2 linked regions of the Alligator mississippiensis genome follow. The protein of the gene in region 1 binds, or shares a complex with, the protein of each later gene. Links are inferred from orthologs where the notes say so. Each region holds a gene or a part of one and is shown on either strand. Other genes may lie near its edges.

Evidence for each region. Proteins that work in one complex are often made in the same cells at the same time.
Region 2: deoxynucleotidyltransferase terminal-interacting protein 1 (region 1) and SAP30 share a complex: the UniProt entries of both Homo sapiens proteins name them as parts of the histone deacetylase complex. The link is inferred for Alligator mississippiensis from reciprocal best matches to the Homo sapiens genes DNTTIP1 and SAP30.

The regions. Positions count from the first base shown.
Region 1 is NC_081832.1:636,186-644,147, reverse strand, and holds the start of deoxynucleotidyltransferase terminal-interacting protein 1, read left to right. Parts: upstream 1-4,948; 5' UTR 4,949-4,999; coding exon 5,000-5,086; intron 5,087-7,284; coding exon 7,285-7,355; intron 7,356-7,962. Other genes in the region: CD83 antigen, read right to left, coding at 610-823, 1,283-1,425, 3,846-3,858. UniProt on the Homo sapiens protein: Increases DNTT terminal deoxynucleotidyltransferase activity (in vitro). Also acts as a transcriptional regulator, binding to the consensus sequence 5'-GNTGCATG-3' following an AT-tract.
Region 2 is NC_081825.1:80,264,069-80,271,472, reverse strand, and holds the start of SAP30 (histone deacetylase complex subunit SAP30), read left to right. Parts: upstream 1-4,404; 5' UTR 4,405-4,491; coding exon 4,492-4,899; intron 4,900-5,669; coding exon 5,670-5,792; intron 5,793-7,357; coding exon 7,358-7,404. UniProt on the Homo sapiens protein: Involved in the functional recruitment of the Sin3-histone deacetylase complex (HDAC) to a specific subset of N-CoR corepressor complexes. Capable of transcription repression by N-CoR.

The DNA of each region.
Region 1 (7,962 bases):
TTGTTTCATTAACTCCATGACACTGGCACACACAACGCAGGCCAAGAGGTGGATCGCACAGACCCTGCCTCATCAAGTAGGACTTGCTTTTTTTTAAATGCAAAGAACAAGATCATCCCCTGGTAGCATGCAGAGGAGGAAACTTCTCCCCCCTGATAGTACACAGAGGAGGAAACCCTCCCCCCAGCACACAGAGGAAGAAACCTCTCCCCCTCACCATGTGCGGCTGAGCACATGGTGCTGCTCCTAGGGCATACAGCAGCAGGCATGGCGGGGATGACCAGAAGAGTTCAAAGGGGTCTTGGGGGTCCTTCCCCCTCCCTGAAGCATGAGAAAAGGAAGAAGGGGATGGTGACTCCAAGGGCCAGGTATCCACTGCCCCATGTGAAGGGCAGCCCCTGGGAAATACTGTGAAACAAGCAGCCGTTTTGTATCAGCGAGGCTGGCAGCTGTCCCAGATGCCGTTATTTTATTGCCCCTACGCCCTCTTTGTGCCACGGGAGGGGGAAGCTTGGGGCCCTGTGTCTGCTGCCTGCCTGCTTTCCAAGCTCTTCACATCACTGTGGTGCCTGGCCTCTGGTGCCTGTGGTTCTGGCCTAGCCGCCTCACCTGATACCCGCAGGATGACGTCTGCCTGCTGATTGAAATGTCCCACATTGGCCCAGAGGGAGCAGCGATAAGTGCCAGCGTCCTCTGGCCGGACCTTAGGAATGACCAGCGACTGCTGCTCGTCCATCAGGAACAGCCGCTGGATCTTGTCATACACCGTTGTCCTGTTCTTGAGGTTCCGAATCAGCCCCGTTTCCTGACTGTTGTTGATGACCTGCACGCAGCAACAGGATCCCGTTAGTGCATCGGGGCGCGTGGCACAGCCCGGCATACTGGGCCGCTGGTTAAATTAGGGCAGAACAGACCAACTCCCATTGCTGGGCATTAACATCTTCTCATGCATCTGCCTGTGGCATTGCCTTACGCTCACCCAGCCACGCAGCACATGTAAACCGGGCAGAGGGGCTCCCAGCACGCAGCAGCCAGCACTTCTCACAGAGCCAGCTGGGATAAGGCAGCAGGCAGTGCCGCGGGGGTCTCTGCACCCATGCACCCATAATCCCAACTGTCCATAGCCACTGAAACAAATAGAAGGAGCCCTGGATACCCCTCTCCCCCTCCAGCCAGTCCCCATGTGCACTGGCCCATGTAAACGAGCTGTGCTGCAGTTTAGAAAAGCGCTGGCTCTTCCGAGTGGTTGAGGACACGTGCTGCCTCTCTGGGAGGGCACTACCTTGTACCAGCCGCTGGCCCAGAAGTTCTGCATCCCTTTGACAGCAGGAGGGCAAGGGAGGACTGCTGCTGCCCCGCACTGGCTGTCCATGGACACTGCTGCCACTGCTGGTCTTTGCAGGAGGAGGCACAGGCAGCCAAGAGCTGGAAGTGGGAAGAGAGACTCAGTTAGGAGCGCAGCCTCGAATCCAGGAAAGGCTCCCCACCCACCCCCTCCAAGAGTGAGCTCTGCACACAGGCTGCAGTCCCCACCGGAGGATGCTGTGCACCGCGGAGAGGGGCAGGCGTCGTTGCAGGTTCTAGCACCTCCACCCTCTGTGGTGGTGCTGGCACTGCCGAGCTCCAAGCCTTGGGCTGAGGTTTCACAGAGCTGTGAGAAGGTTCCTGCTGCCACTCCGGGTTGTTTTGAATCATTTTCAAGAGACAGTTGACCTTTAAAGCCCCTTGGTGCAAGCTAAACAAGGCTCTGGAGCAGCCCACGACTGCTGCACTGTAAGGCAGAGCCACCCACCTGTGCTCTCCAATCTGGGTGGCACCGGCCAGCCTGAGGGCCTAAAACAAGGTGTTACGTAAAGTAGCCTATTGCTCAGGTCCGGCACACCTGCTCTTCCTCCTGGGGCAGAGGCAGTGACACCACCGCTGAAAATCAGGATGCTCCAATTTCAGTACTGGACGCCAGGCCCCCTGAGCCGGCACATTTCAGCCTCTTCCTTCTGCCTGTACTTGCAGGTGTCCAATCTTACTGAAAGCTCCCCAGCTTTCACTGGGACAGCTCACCCCGTGGAGCCCCCTTCCCTGCCACAGGGCCAAGGCTTGGGGGCCCTTGGCTCAGCTCTGTTTGGGACTTTTCACCGAGTCTTGAATGCAGCCGGGTGCAGCTGATGTGCTGTTACTCAGGCCCGGTCCAACCTGAAAGGTTCTGCTAGCAAAGCTGCAGCACTTCGCTGTGCTAATGAATCACATCTGTGATCAGCGCAGCTCTGCCAGCCAGAGCACTAGCACGGTACTCTTTCACTAGCCCCAAACTCCTTTGGCTGGTACGGAAACCGCTGGAACAGCCAGAGAACTCTTCCCCAAGCTAAGCTGGACCCAGAAGGGTGACTTGCCAACGTAGCAGCGCAGGCAGCCTCTTCCCAACGCACACCGGGTTTAGTACCCCAAAACGTTCAAGAGCAGCAGCAGCAACGAGAGCTGTCACGGCCACGCTGTCCTCCGGACGGGCTCGCTCTGTTGCGCTGAACCCGTTCGCGTCCAGAGAGGAGCTCACGACACTGTTAGCAGACACAGTGGGCAATGAGCAAAGGGACCTGCTGCTCTGGCCGTGCTGGCCAACACCATCCAAGTACCTCCCGGGTTCTGCTGCGGTCCAGATACCGCCTCGGTGACCACGGTCCCGGAGCACCTTGCGACCGGTAAGCTGCTCGCCCTCCCTGTAGCCTCTGGGAGGTGGGAAAGCACTTCTGTCTCCTGCTTCCAGAAGGAGACCAAGGCCCAGAAAAACAAAGTTTAGGGCCGGAAATTGTATCTCAGAGCATCTGGCACTGAGCACAATGACACAGAGAACTGGGTGCCAACCCAGCTTTTGCTGGTGCCTTCAGGGCCAGCTCTTTGTCAGAGATGGAAAACTGTGACTTTCACTCCAAACTGGAACCTGAAACCTCACAGCTCCGTACACGCAGTCTCTGTATTATACTCTGCAGACTCTGCCCGCAGTTGGTGACCTTCTGCAAATGGTTTTTACAAAAAAGGATTGCGACACGGAAATGATCAATTAAGAAGATCAAAGGAGAACCGTGGTTCTCCATTCTCTTTCCTGCAGGCCTTCAACTGTTTGAAAACTGCTAGCATGCCCCCTTCAATCTCCTTTCCTCCACACTAAACAGCCTAGCTCTCTCAACCCTTCCTCACCTGGCTGCGTTTCAGCCTCTCTATCGTCTTTCTTGCTTGCTTCTGGATCCTCTGCGCTTTCTGCACATCCTTCCTAAAGGGACTCCGTCAAACTGAGCTCCTCAAAGTACTGAGACAATTTTGACTTCTAATCCTGCCCTCCTAAGTTTCTGCCGCCTCTAAAAGCTTGGTGTCATCTGGCATCTTCAGAGGCGTGCTCTGTCTTCCACCATCCAGGTCGTTCAGGAAAATACCGAATAGCATCAGACTAAGAAGAAACTCTCGCGATACAAGGCTCTTTTGGGCTACGTCCTTCCAGTCTGACAGCGAACAGGTGCTAACTGCTCTTCGACTATGGCTTTTCAATGTTATGGGCACAGCCAACATACAAACAATACGTGAACCAACAGTCATAGAGGAAATGCTCTCATTTAATTTGTTTTTAGAAATAAATGTACCCCCTCCCAAGTTGCAGCCCCCCCAGACAAGTAATAGCACTCTCCCTGGATCTTAACATCAAGTGCGTTCAGGGAGCGGTGCACAGTAGCGGCACGAGACCAAGACCTTTGGCTTCCTGAGAGACAGCCTGTCCCGTGTTTCTCTTCCCCAGCACCCAGGTGCCAGTGACAAGACGAGGAGGAAGTTACCAAGTGAATAAATTCCTGATGAGGACTCACCCAAGGGCAACATCTGCGCGGTCTGGGCGCGTGCAGGGGCCAGAGCTCCTGAGCCTCGAGCTTCCTGCTCTGCTGAATGGAAAGCAGTGGGCTTGTTTATGCGGAAAATGAAAGCTGGCTGTTGAAGACTGCGATACCCAGTGTGAAGTACCGCTGCGGGTGAGGAAACGGGTCACAGAGTCCTCAGCTTGTGTGAGCAATGCATGAGATTGGCACGTGGCACCGAAGGGGCGTGCGGGCTCCCCTCGCGTCCCCGCAGCCAGCTGTCTCCCGTTCGCGCTCGAGCATCCTCTTGCCTGCTTGTTCCGCCAGGCGCGCCCTGTCGCCCAGGCGGCCGACGCTCTCCCCTTCCTCCAACTGCTCCACAAAGCCCCGGTCCGCCTGAACCCGCCCAAGCGAGGAGGCTTTGGAAGTAAACTGCGCTTTGGAAACAGACTTTCCGATGACTCGGAGCCGGGCCGCGCCGGGCTGCCGACACCGGGCTGTTGCACGCAAAGGACCGATCCTGACCCAACCCAAGTCGGTGGCGACGGTCCCGCCCACTTCAATGGATACGGGCTCAAAACCTCATCCGGTGCATCAGTCCTTCCTATCGCCCGGGGGACCCGCCGCCTCTTCTCGAAGATCACAACACGCCTCGCTGACGGCGCGCTACATCTCGCCGGCCCTTTCCTCCCGCGCCCGCAAGGCCGGCGACGCTGCAGCGGGGAGATTAGACTGGCTCTCGACACACGCAGGCCGGCAGGTTTGGTCGTCGCATTATCTCCCAGGTGCCCCCGAAGACGAGGCTCGCCCACCCGAGTCCCCACCCTGTCTAACACGGCGCGATAACACGTCTCCAGGCCGGAGAGCAGACGTCGGGGGTGAGGCGGCACCTCTGGTGTCCCTCCGCGCCCGGCGAGGCGCCGAAAGAACCCAGCCTGGTCCCTCCCCCCCCCTGCGCGGCCAAGAGGTCAGCAGGAGGGGGGCGGGGCAAGGCGCAGGTGTGGGCGGGGCCGAGGGGGCGGGGCCCGCTGCCCCGCCCCTTCCCAAGATGGCGGCCCCGACGGCCCGTTGCCATGGCGGCGCGCCGCTCTTCCGGCGCCGCTCGATGACGTTGCCCGCAGACTCGGGGAGCGCCGCTTCCGGGTGCGACGGCCCGCGCCGCAGGCGGGATGGGGGCGGCCCGAGACCCCGAGCAGCCGCCGGGCCCGCCCGGGGACGAGGGCCCGCACGAGGGCGACGGGCAGCTCGTCAGCACGGTGAGACCCCACCCCCCCGGGCTGCCCCGCCGTGCCCCCCGGTCCTGGGCCCCGGGCTGCTCCTCCCCCCTCCATAGCCCCCCCGGAGCTGCCCCCCTCCGTATCCTCCTCAGTCCTGTCCCCCCTCCACACACCCCCCACCGGGGCTGCCCCCCTCCCCCCCCGCAGCCTGGGTCCTGGGGTCCTGCGCAAGCCCCCACCCGCCAGCTGTCCCCCCCCTATACCTCCCCCCAGCCTGCCCCCATCCATGCCCCCCCAGTCCTGGGCCCCAGTCTATTCCTCCCCCTCCATAGCCCCCCCCGGGCTGCCCCTCTTCATAGACTCACAGAAGTCGGGTGGGGCGGGACCTTGTAGATCTTCAGGTCCGACCCCTGCCTGGGCAGGAGAGAAACTGGGCTCAAGTGACCCCAGGCAGGTAGGCATCGAGCCGCTTCTTAAAGACCCCCAGGTAGGAGCCAACACCACTTCCCGTGGAAGTCGGTTCCAGATCCTAGCCGCCCTGACTGAAGTAGTTCCTACAGATGTCTAATCTGAACCTACTCTCCCACGACTTGTGGCCGTTACTCCTTGTTATCCAGCGGGGTGCTGGGGGAAACAAGGTCTCCCCCAAACCCTTCTGGTCCCCCCAGTGAGTTTATAGACAGTCACCAGATCCCCCTCAGCCTTCTCTTGTGAAGGCTGAACAGGTTCAGGTCCCGTAGCCTCTCATTGTAGGGTCTGCCCTGCTGTCCCCGGATCATGCAGGTGACCTCCTCTGGCCCCTCTCCATGCTGTCCACATCCCTCCTGAAGTGGGGCGCCCAGAACTGGACGCAGTACTCCAGCTGCGGCCTGACCAGTGTCGTGCAGAGGGGGAGGATCACCTCCTTGGCCCTACTTGAGATGCACCTGTGGATGCACGATAGGGTCCGGTTAGCCCTGCCGACCGTGACCTCGCGTTGTCGGCCCATGTTCATCTTGGAGTCAGTGATGACTGCAAGATCCCTTTCTGCCTCCGTGCTCTTGAGAAGGGGGTTTCCCATCTTATAAGTGTGCTGCCGGTTACTACTGCCCAAGTGCAGCACCCTGCACTTGTCCGTATTGAAACACATCCTGTTTTTGTTAGCCCACCCCTGCAACCTGTCCAGGTCTTGCTGCAGTCTTTCCCTCCCTACCAGCGTGCCCACCTCACCCCAGATTTTGGTATCATCAGGTCACAAATTTGAACAGGTTGCTTTTCACCCCGTCGTCTAAATCGCTGATAAAGAAATTGAACAGCACGGGCCCAAGGACCGAGCCCTGGGGGACTCCACTGCCCACTTCCCCCCAGGTCGAATATGACCCGTCCACCACCACCCTCTGAGTACGACCCTTCAGCCAATTAGCAATCCATCTGACTGTGCAGGCATCGATGCCACAGTCACCTAGTTTTTAATGAGGATGGGGTGGGAGACAGTGTCAAAGGCCTTGCTGAAGTCCAGAAAGACTACATCCACGGCCACACCTGCGTCCAGTGCTTTTGTGACCTGATCGTAAAAGGCAATCGGGTTGGTCTGACATGACCTGCCCCTAACAAAACCGTGCTGGTTGCCCCTCAGCATCATCCATATCCTCCCCAGTCCTGTCCTCTCTCTATACCTCCCCCCGGGGCTGCCCCCTCCATGCCCCCCCGGTCCTGGGCCCCAGTCTTCCTCCACCCTCCACAGACCCCCCCCCCGGAGCTGCCCCCCCAGTCCTGTCCGTCCACCCCCCCGGGGGCTGCCCCCCCTCCATATCCTCCCCAGTCCTGTCACCCCTCTATACCTCCCCCGGGGCTGCCCCCCTCCACACACCCCCCTCCAGGGCTGTTGTCGTCCCCCCGTCCGTCTGTCGTCGTTTCCCCCCCCCCCCCCCCAACGGTCTGGGTCTCAGAGTCCCGCGTGAGCCCCCACCCACCAGCTGTCCTCCTTCTATACCTCCCCCAGAGGCTGCCCCCCTCCCCCCACACAGCCTGGGTCTCAGGGTCCTGCGCGAGCCCCCACCCACTGGCTGTCCCCCCCGTCACCCCGCCGCAGCCTGGGTCTTGGGGTCCCACGCGAGCCCCCACCCATCGGCTGTCCCCCCTCTATACCTCCCCCTGGGGCTGCCCCCCTCCACACACCCCCAGGGCTGTCGTCCCTTCCCCCGCGGCCTGGGTCTTGGGGTCCCACGTGAGCCCCCACCTGCCGGCTGTCCCCGCAGAGCCCCTGGAACATCATGATCAAGCACCGGCAGGTGCAGCGGCGCGGGCGGCGCTCGCAGATGACCACCAGGTAAGTGCGGCCCCCATTGAGCCCAGGCCATGCCCCTGCTGCAGAGGAAGGCCACCCCCCCCATCCCCCCCCGTGCAGACCAGGTTGGGCAGGGGGAATCCCGTCCTGCCCCCCTGGGTTTGGAGCGGGGGCAAGACCCTCCAGCCTGGCCCCTGCAGGGTTGGTGCTGGCAGGAGCTTTGGCACCGCCCTGCCCCACCTAAAGACAGGCTTGGCCCGTGGCTGGGTCGGCGCTGTCGGGCTGCTGGCTCACTCCGGCTGGAAGGGGAGAGTCCTGATGCTGTCCTCAGCCTCTAGTGCAGGGGTACACAACATTTTTGTGCCTCGTTTCCAAAATACCTGCAACCTCAACTCGAGAGATGTTGGCGGGCCAGGGCAGATGGCGTGGGAGCTGCGAGGGTACAATCCTTGTAGCGGCATGGACCTGGCCCCTTCCCCACCCTCCGCCCAGAGGCACGTGTGCCAAGCAAAATGCCTTTGCGCGCCACACTCTGGTTCCCGTACCGGGGGTTCCCTATCCCTGCTCCAGCCCCTCGGGCACTGCTGACAGGTTGAGAAGGGAGCTGTATCGATCCCTTCTCTTAGCAGGCCAGGGTTTCAGAGCTGCT
Region 2 (7,404 bases), on another chromosome or scaffold:
GGTATTTCCTAGAACCACAAGTTAGATCCTGATGTCTGCAATAATTTTACCAGTCTTGTGTACCCATTAGCACAGTCCCTAGGGCCCCTACAAGATCAAGGCTTTAAAGCAATGCATGACCTAATAACGCTTGACTTCAAACGTTATTTTTTTTATACTGATTGTTTCTTTATATAGGTAAGTATATGAGCCTGTAATTCAATGTCTTTGTCAGAGGCTTACAGAAGGTTAATCTTAGCTGACCTTTTGGATTGTGATGGGTAGGGATCCTGCTTTTCTCTGATTTTAAAAAAAATCCCTAATTTTCGGATTTAAAAAGTCACTTATATATACATGTGTATATATATGTGTGTGTGTGTGGTGTTTCATTTTAATCACGAGAAAATGTGAATTTGGGAATACTTTTTTTAATCTGAAAATTGGGGATTTTTTTTAAATCAGAGAAAACCAGGATCCCTGGTGATAGGGCATAAGACAGTCATAAGGTACATCGGGCCCAGAATGATTAGAGCTTTATCCATCAAACTAGTACCATGAGTTGTACCCAGAAAGCTCTTGGGAACCAGTGTAGATTCTGGAGCCCTGGGGTTATATCTAGGGACCTACTTAAGTTGCAGTGAGAGGAAGGGTTTTTCACAACCTGTTTGCAGCATACAGAGCTGATTTTGTGGGCATTGTGTGGTGGCCCCGCCCCTTGGTGCTGATTGGCAGAGAGGCCCCGGGGTGGGGAGGAGGAACAAGAGGGCAGCCACCATCCTATCCTGCCACCATACCAGCTGGCACTTTCCCCTTCAGGCAGCAGGAACCAATGGCTCCCAGAGGGAGCCAGCATTTTATTTTTATTAAGATTTTTTTAATGTTGATTTTGTAGATTATCCCAGATTTCATTGTTTCTGCAAACTCCACAAAACCACAGATTAAGTAGGTCCCTAGTTATATCCCTTCTGTGCAACTGGCATCTATATCTTTATGCCTAATATAAATTCACTTACTAAGGGAACTGGGCACAGCATCATTTTGGTATGGCCATGCCATTTAGGCAGTCAGATCCAAGTGTAGAATTTACATATCTTTTAGGATACCTGTGTTCCTATACAAGGGATGAGAAGAGTTTAGATAACTGCAACTCACAACAGCTGGTATGCCAAGCAGGGAGGACACCTAAGGTAGCCATTAGGAAATGTGGAACAGGGGGACATCTCTGGAATCAATCTTCTCCTGCAAAGTGCCTTCATGCACTTATCAACTGATTTCTTCCTTTGGATGCAGGTAACTGGCTTACTTTTTCATCACTCTTACACAGCTGGCAATGATGACAATCCACCCTTTGTATTATACCTAGTGGTTTAAGCATGCACCCAGGAAGTGGTAGACCTAGTTATACTGCTTTACAGCCTGAGGAGTTTCAAATCTACTGGTATCTTTCTCACCTCCAGGAGAGTGCTCTAATCTTCTGCCCCTGCTGCTAAAGCAGGACTGTTGCATAAAAAGGAATGCAACATCATACGGCCATGAAAAGATAGCACATGACTCTGTCATCCAGTGTTGAATACACTATCTTGGAAGCCAAGAATGCAGGATTCATAGGGCCCAAGAGAGTAAGAAAGAAGGAATGTGACTCGGCACAGACAGATGAAATGTTTAACCAGGGTAAAGGGTTACCTGCCTATAAAAAGCAGCAGCCGCTAAACTGGGGGAATCCCTGAACTACTGAACAAATCAGAGCTAAAACTATCAGTGTAAAGACAGCCTGGGTTAACTTTTGCTGCTGCATCCATTCTAAGTTGGCTAAAGGTAAGGCTATCTCTTGCTCCTATGCTATCTAATAGCAATGTGTAGTAGTGATTGATTGCTGTGTTCTAATCATTTGTCTATGCAAAAGATAGGCGGCGCCACCATCAGCTATGGTTTTGAATGAAAGCGATTGTGACTTAGAAATGCAAAACTCTAGAACTCTTGGTTCAGAGGTGATACCTTTTATTAGACCAACTAAGAAATCATTAAAAAAATCTCTTTTTCTGCAAGCTTTCTGGCACACACGCCCTTCCTCAGGCTCAGGAAAAATAAAAGATGATAAAAAGTCCCCATAGGTAGAAAATAAACTTCATTTTTGCACAGAGGAAGCTGAAGGTGCAAGTCTGTTCCTCTGGGACCATGAAAGTGTCTTCTGCTTTGTGCTGAACTTAATGCTTTTGGTGTGATTTATGGGTAAGTGTACTCAGAGTAGGCCTCTTGAAATGAACCCTTGAGTCTCAAGTGGATTGAAATGTGTGATAGGCGTTGGTGATATTGGCTCAGCCTCTGTACATCCTTTGTATTGGTACATCTCTGGGCATGTGAAGTAACAAAACCGTAGGCACCTGCCTACCAAGCAAAAGCTTGAGACTGTGGACCATCACAGTCTCAAACAACAGTTAAGCAGGTGGATTGCACTTTTGGATTTACATGCCTCAGTTTTTGTTTGAATCTGACCCTCTGAATCACAACACAGATGCAAGTTTGATGTGGGATTGTACCCATACTCTGTAAGACTGGGTTATAAAATCAGGTTAAGAAGTAGAAATTGAAACCGTTGTAACCCCTGAGTGCGCAATGCACTGAGCCCGTATCTCCTTAAATTATTGGGTTTTGTCACACTCCCTATTTTGATTCTATAACTTCGAATAGGCCATAATTCATACATTGAAATGTTTTCAATTAAATTAAACCATTTTCTTTGGCCTATGGCCTTTCCCGCTGTCTTAACTTGAAAGGAATAGCTGACCAAAAGGGGCAGGGAGGTTGGAGTATTTTGTTTGTCAAATAAGTTATTTGACAAACAAAACACTCCAACGCCAGTGCAAATGTGCTTTGCAGGTGTCATAAGATCAATGCCCTTTTGTTGGAGGGGGGAGCTCTGCCTTGCAACTCTCCAAGAAGCAGCCTTATTTGGTCTCCCTGTCTTGAGAGGACCCCTAGAAGCCAGCCCCTAGCAGGGGAGAGCCTCTGACTTGGAGACCCTGGATCTTCTCAGTCTCCCGCTTCCTCAGTGATCAATAGCACCCACACCTCCAACAGCTCCTTCCTTTTCATCAGCTCCCATGAAGGGGGGGGGGGGTGGAAGTGGGAGTGCTCTTTTAAAGAGGAGGGGTAGCAGAATGATGTGTCCCAACAGCACAGCAATCTCTGCTCTGAAACAGCCAGTCTCTATTGTGCCACACCAGTTCCCCCTGTTCTTCCTTTGACTCTGTTCCATCCTCCCTGAGACTCTTCTTTTTCTCACTAATCTGTCTTCCCTGGGACTTTCTCCATCGAGCTTTATCAGAGCCTCACGCTTTCTCCTGAGGCCCAGTCAGCCACACTTCAATAGAAGTTACAGAACTGGTTACCTGGGCACACCACTCAGCCAGTACAATGAAAAATAAAGTCACGAGGAACCAATCAGGGAGCAGTCTCTGGGCCCTGCTGCCAGGTCTAGACTGCTATCTCCCCACTGGGGTGAAAAGGACATATAGGTGGGTTGCTTATGAGGTTATTTACAAGATTTCTTTATAACAAAGCCTTCTCACAATGACCCCCTCCCCCCCAGATATTCCCAGTATGAACTACAGGCTAGAACTCAGCCCACTTAGCCTTTTCCCTCACAGCAAGCACATGAAAAAAAATGGTCGGTCAGATTTACTCATCGTGTGTGTGTGTGTGTGGAAGTATGGCGGGGGGAACTGTCTGGGGCAGGAGCTCCCCGCAGCGGGGCGGTGGGAGCGAGCCCAGTTACTCCAACTGACGCTGTCCTCTGCCAGGGGAAACGCTGAAAAAAGACCCAGGGCGAAAGGCCGTCACGGAGCGCCAGGCTGCCAGCTTCTCGGGCAGACAGCAGCTCGCCAGTGCTCAGTCAGACTAGCCCAGCACTCCCGCCTTTTCCCCAGGCCCGGCCTACCGGCCCAGGTGAGGCCGCTGGGGCAGCGCTGCAGCGGGAGGAGGGAGGGAAGGGAAGGGAAGGGCCCGGGCGCTCTCTGGGGGGAACTGCCGCAGGTCCGCGGCCTCCGAACGGCCACATTTCAAATCCTAACGGCTGCTCCGAGCCTTTGTACGACAAACACCGCAACACAGAACTCCCCGCACATGCGCGTTGCGAACGGGACCAGAAGCCCGCGTCCCCTCTCCCTTCTGCAGCGAGCAGGGGGTGGGGGTGGGGAGGCAAGCGCAACCTCCAAAATAACCCCACCCCTCCCCGTCTTGTTCCTTGCCGCGCTCCGCAAAATGGCGGCGGAGCGCGCGTGGGGCACGCCGGGAGCGGTAGTTTCCCAGGCCTCCCCGCGGGCGGAGCGGGCGCCGCGGCGCCAACTACAGGTCCCGGTAGGCGGCGGGTTGCGCATGCGCGCTAGGGCGGGTGGGTTGCTGTTGTTACAGAGGAAACAGCTGAAAAGTCCGCACATGACAGAGGGGCGCGGGGCGTGCGCGACGCCGCGGGGCTGAACTGAGGGGCAGGACGCAGCCGCTGGCGGCGCGGTCATGAACGGCTTCGCGCCTGAGGACGCGGCTCCGCGCGGGGGGGACCCCGCAGCCGCCGCCGCCGCTGCTGCTGCTGCTGCCGCCGCCGCCGCCGCCGCCGGGGCCAGCGCGGGCTCCGCTGTGGAGGTGCCGCCGCCACCGCCTCCAGTGCCGCCGCCGCCGCCGCCTCTCGGGGCCGCAGCCGGGGCCGGGGCCGTCGCGGGCGCTAACGCCGCCGCGGTTGCCGCTGCTGCTGCCGCCGCCGCCGCTGCGGGCCCGGCGGGCGCGGCGGGGCCCGGAGCCGGGCAGCTGTGCTGCCTGCGCGAGGAGGGCGAGCGCTGCGGCCGGGCCGCCGGCAACGCCAGCTTCAGCAAGCGCATCCAGAAGAGCATCTCGCAGAAGAAGGTGAAGATCGAGCTGGACAAGAGCGTGAGTGCCCGCGGGCCCGGGGTCGGGGGGGGAGGCGGCGGCGGGGGGGCTGCGGCGCAGGCACCGCCACTGCCCCCGGCCCGGGCGCCGCGTCCTTGCCCTTGGCGCGCCCGCCTGCCGCAGGGGAGCTGCTTGCCCTGTCCCCGCGGGGGCCGCCCGGCCGCCATGGGGTAGAGCCGCGCCGGCCCCAGACAAAGCCCCGCGGTGGGGAGCGCGGGGAGCCCCCTCCCGAGCGGCACAAAGGGGGCTGTTGCTGTGACTGCTGCTGCTGCGGGGGGTGCCGGGAGGTTTCAGCTGCGGAAACTTCGCGTTGGAAGAGCCCGGGGGGGAGGAGGGGGGAGGCTGCGGTCCCGGAGTCGCTGAAAGTGAAACTGCAGCCGATCCGCGCCGCTGCGGGCCTGAGCGCGGCTTGTTAAACCCCCCGGGCCCGGCGGAGAGTGCCTGCTTCGCCGGCAGGGGCTCGGGGAGGGCGGCGAGGACCAGGGGGAGACATCGGCGGCTTTTAAAAAGATGACGACGGAGAAGTCATTTTCCTGCTGATGGCGGGAGGGGGCTGGGCTCGGCTGCTCCCTGGAGTCGGCTCGTTGCTGCAGCGCGGAGGGGGAAAGGAGGGGGGGGGGGGGGTCTGGCCGGGACCAGCAGATCTCCTCCGCCCCGAGTTCAGGCCACGAGACATGGCGATGGCTCTGCCGCTGCTGTGTGTGACCGCACGTGTCCAAACCCTGGCAAAATAATCGTGGAAAACATGGCTTTTTCTCATTTTATTTTAGGCAAGGCATCTTTATATTTGTGACTTTCACAAAAACTTAATTCAGAGCGTGAGAAACAGAAGAAAGAGAAAAGGCAGTGATGATGATGGTGACTCGCCAGTGCAAGACATTGACACTCCAGAGGTACCTGCCTAGTTATTTATGTGGTTGCCATGTAAAACTGATTCTTAATTGTCATGCTTTAGTCACAAAAATATAACATTTCTTATGGCTATGCTTCTGTATTCATTGTGTATGTTAGAATGATATATTCTAAGATGCTTACATAAGGAATATTTGTTTTCTCCATTTTATTCATCATACTTCTCCTGGAAATAAAGCCTAACCTAAATCGTAAATCAGTTTTGATTCTGAAATATTTTACCTTTCTCCCCAGATCCCTAGTATTGGAGTTACGTGCTTAGCCACATAGTAGCAGAACCATTTTTCAGCAGGAGTCAGGCAGTTACTGAACCATGAGCCCAGCATTTATACTTTCGGTGTATAAAATGTTTTATCACCTTTTAACTGTCCCTTGGCTTTTCCCCCGTCCTGCCAGGATGGCTACAGAACAGTCAGAAGTTGCTCCATTCTGTTAAAAAAACACTTAGAATAGATATGTGTCATACATAAAAGCATAGTAGAGTTAAATCTTAAATGTAAAAGTATGTACTGTAGTGCCACTATTACATTCCAGTTTTTGGGGAAGTGGTTGCTTTGATCTGGCACATCCCATATACAAAAGTGGTGTTTAAAACGTATATGCACCTTTTTGTTTCCCATTTCAGATGGTATGAAATACCCTTTTTTTTTTTTTTTATATGCCCTGGATAAGTGCACTAAGCTGGAGGGTAGGTTGCCTGTTCGAGGTATCAAAGATCTCAAATAGCATTTTTAAGATTTGGCTGCAGAACTTGTTCCTTCAAGTTCCCCGGTAATGCATTTGTCCATAAGGCCTTTTCACTGCCAGCACTCTGCTAAAGAATTCTGGGTTGACAGGAAGGAAAACACTTTTTTTTTTTAAGCCTCTGGTGAAGATGTCTGAGGTCCTGGAATATTCTGAGTCCTGTAAGGTCTTATCTCAGTTCCTAGAGACTGTTTTTTGTAGTCTTCCCCACAATTATCTTTGCAGTTACCCTCTTGAATCCCAGGGCTGCAATTTTGGCACCGTGCGGACCACAGTTCCTGAACAAGCCAGTTCTCTTTTTCAAGTTTTATGGGATCAGCAGTTCTTGCCACAGCTGATATCTGCTGCCGACTCTTGTGAAGGACAAAAAAAATAATAGTGACAAATGTACTGCTTAACGCATCCGCTCCTGCAAAGGAGGCTTAGTTCAGACCCACATTCTAAAAGCTACAGTTGTCAGTTTAGACGGTGCCAGAAAACCCAAAGGTGTTTTTATTCCTCTCTCCTTGCCACCCCCCACCCCCAATCTGGGCACTGCACCAGAGAGACTCATGACTTCACTGATGGAAAAGAAATGAGTGCCCAATGCAATCTCTACCGTTTCCAGGAAGAAAAAGTTCTGTGCCAGTGATCTACTAATTTCACCTCCAAGTCTGTTTCAGAGGGCAGTTCAGAATGTTATTTTGGGCGGAATACTAAAGGCTGCTTGGAACAGAAGGACAGTACATACTGCATGTCTTCTGCCTTCATTTCAGTTGCCATATTTAATGATGATTTAATGCCATTGTTTCTTTTTTCCTAGGTTGACTTATATCAGTTGCAAGTAAACACGCTTCGAAGGTACAAAAG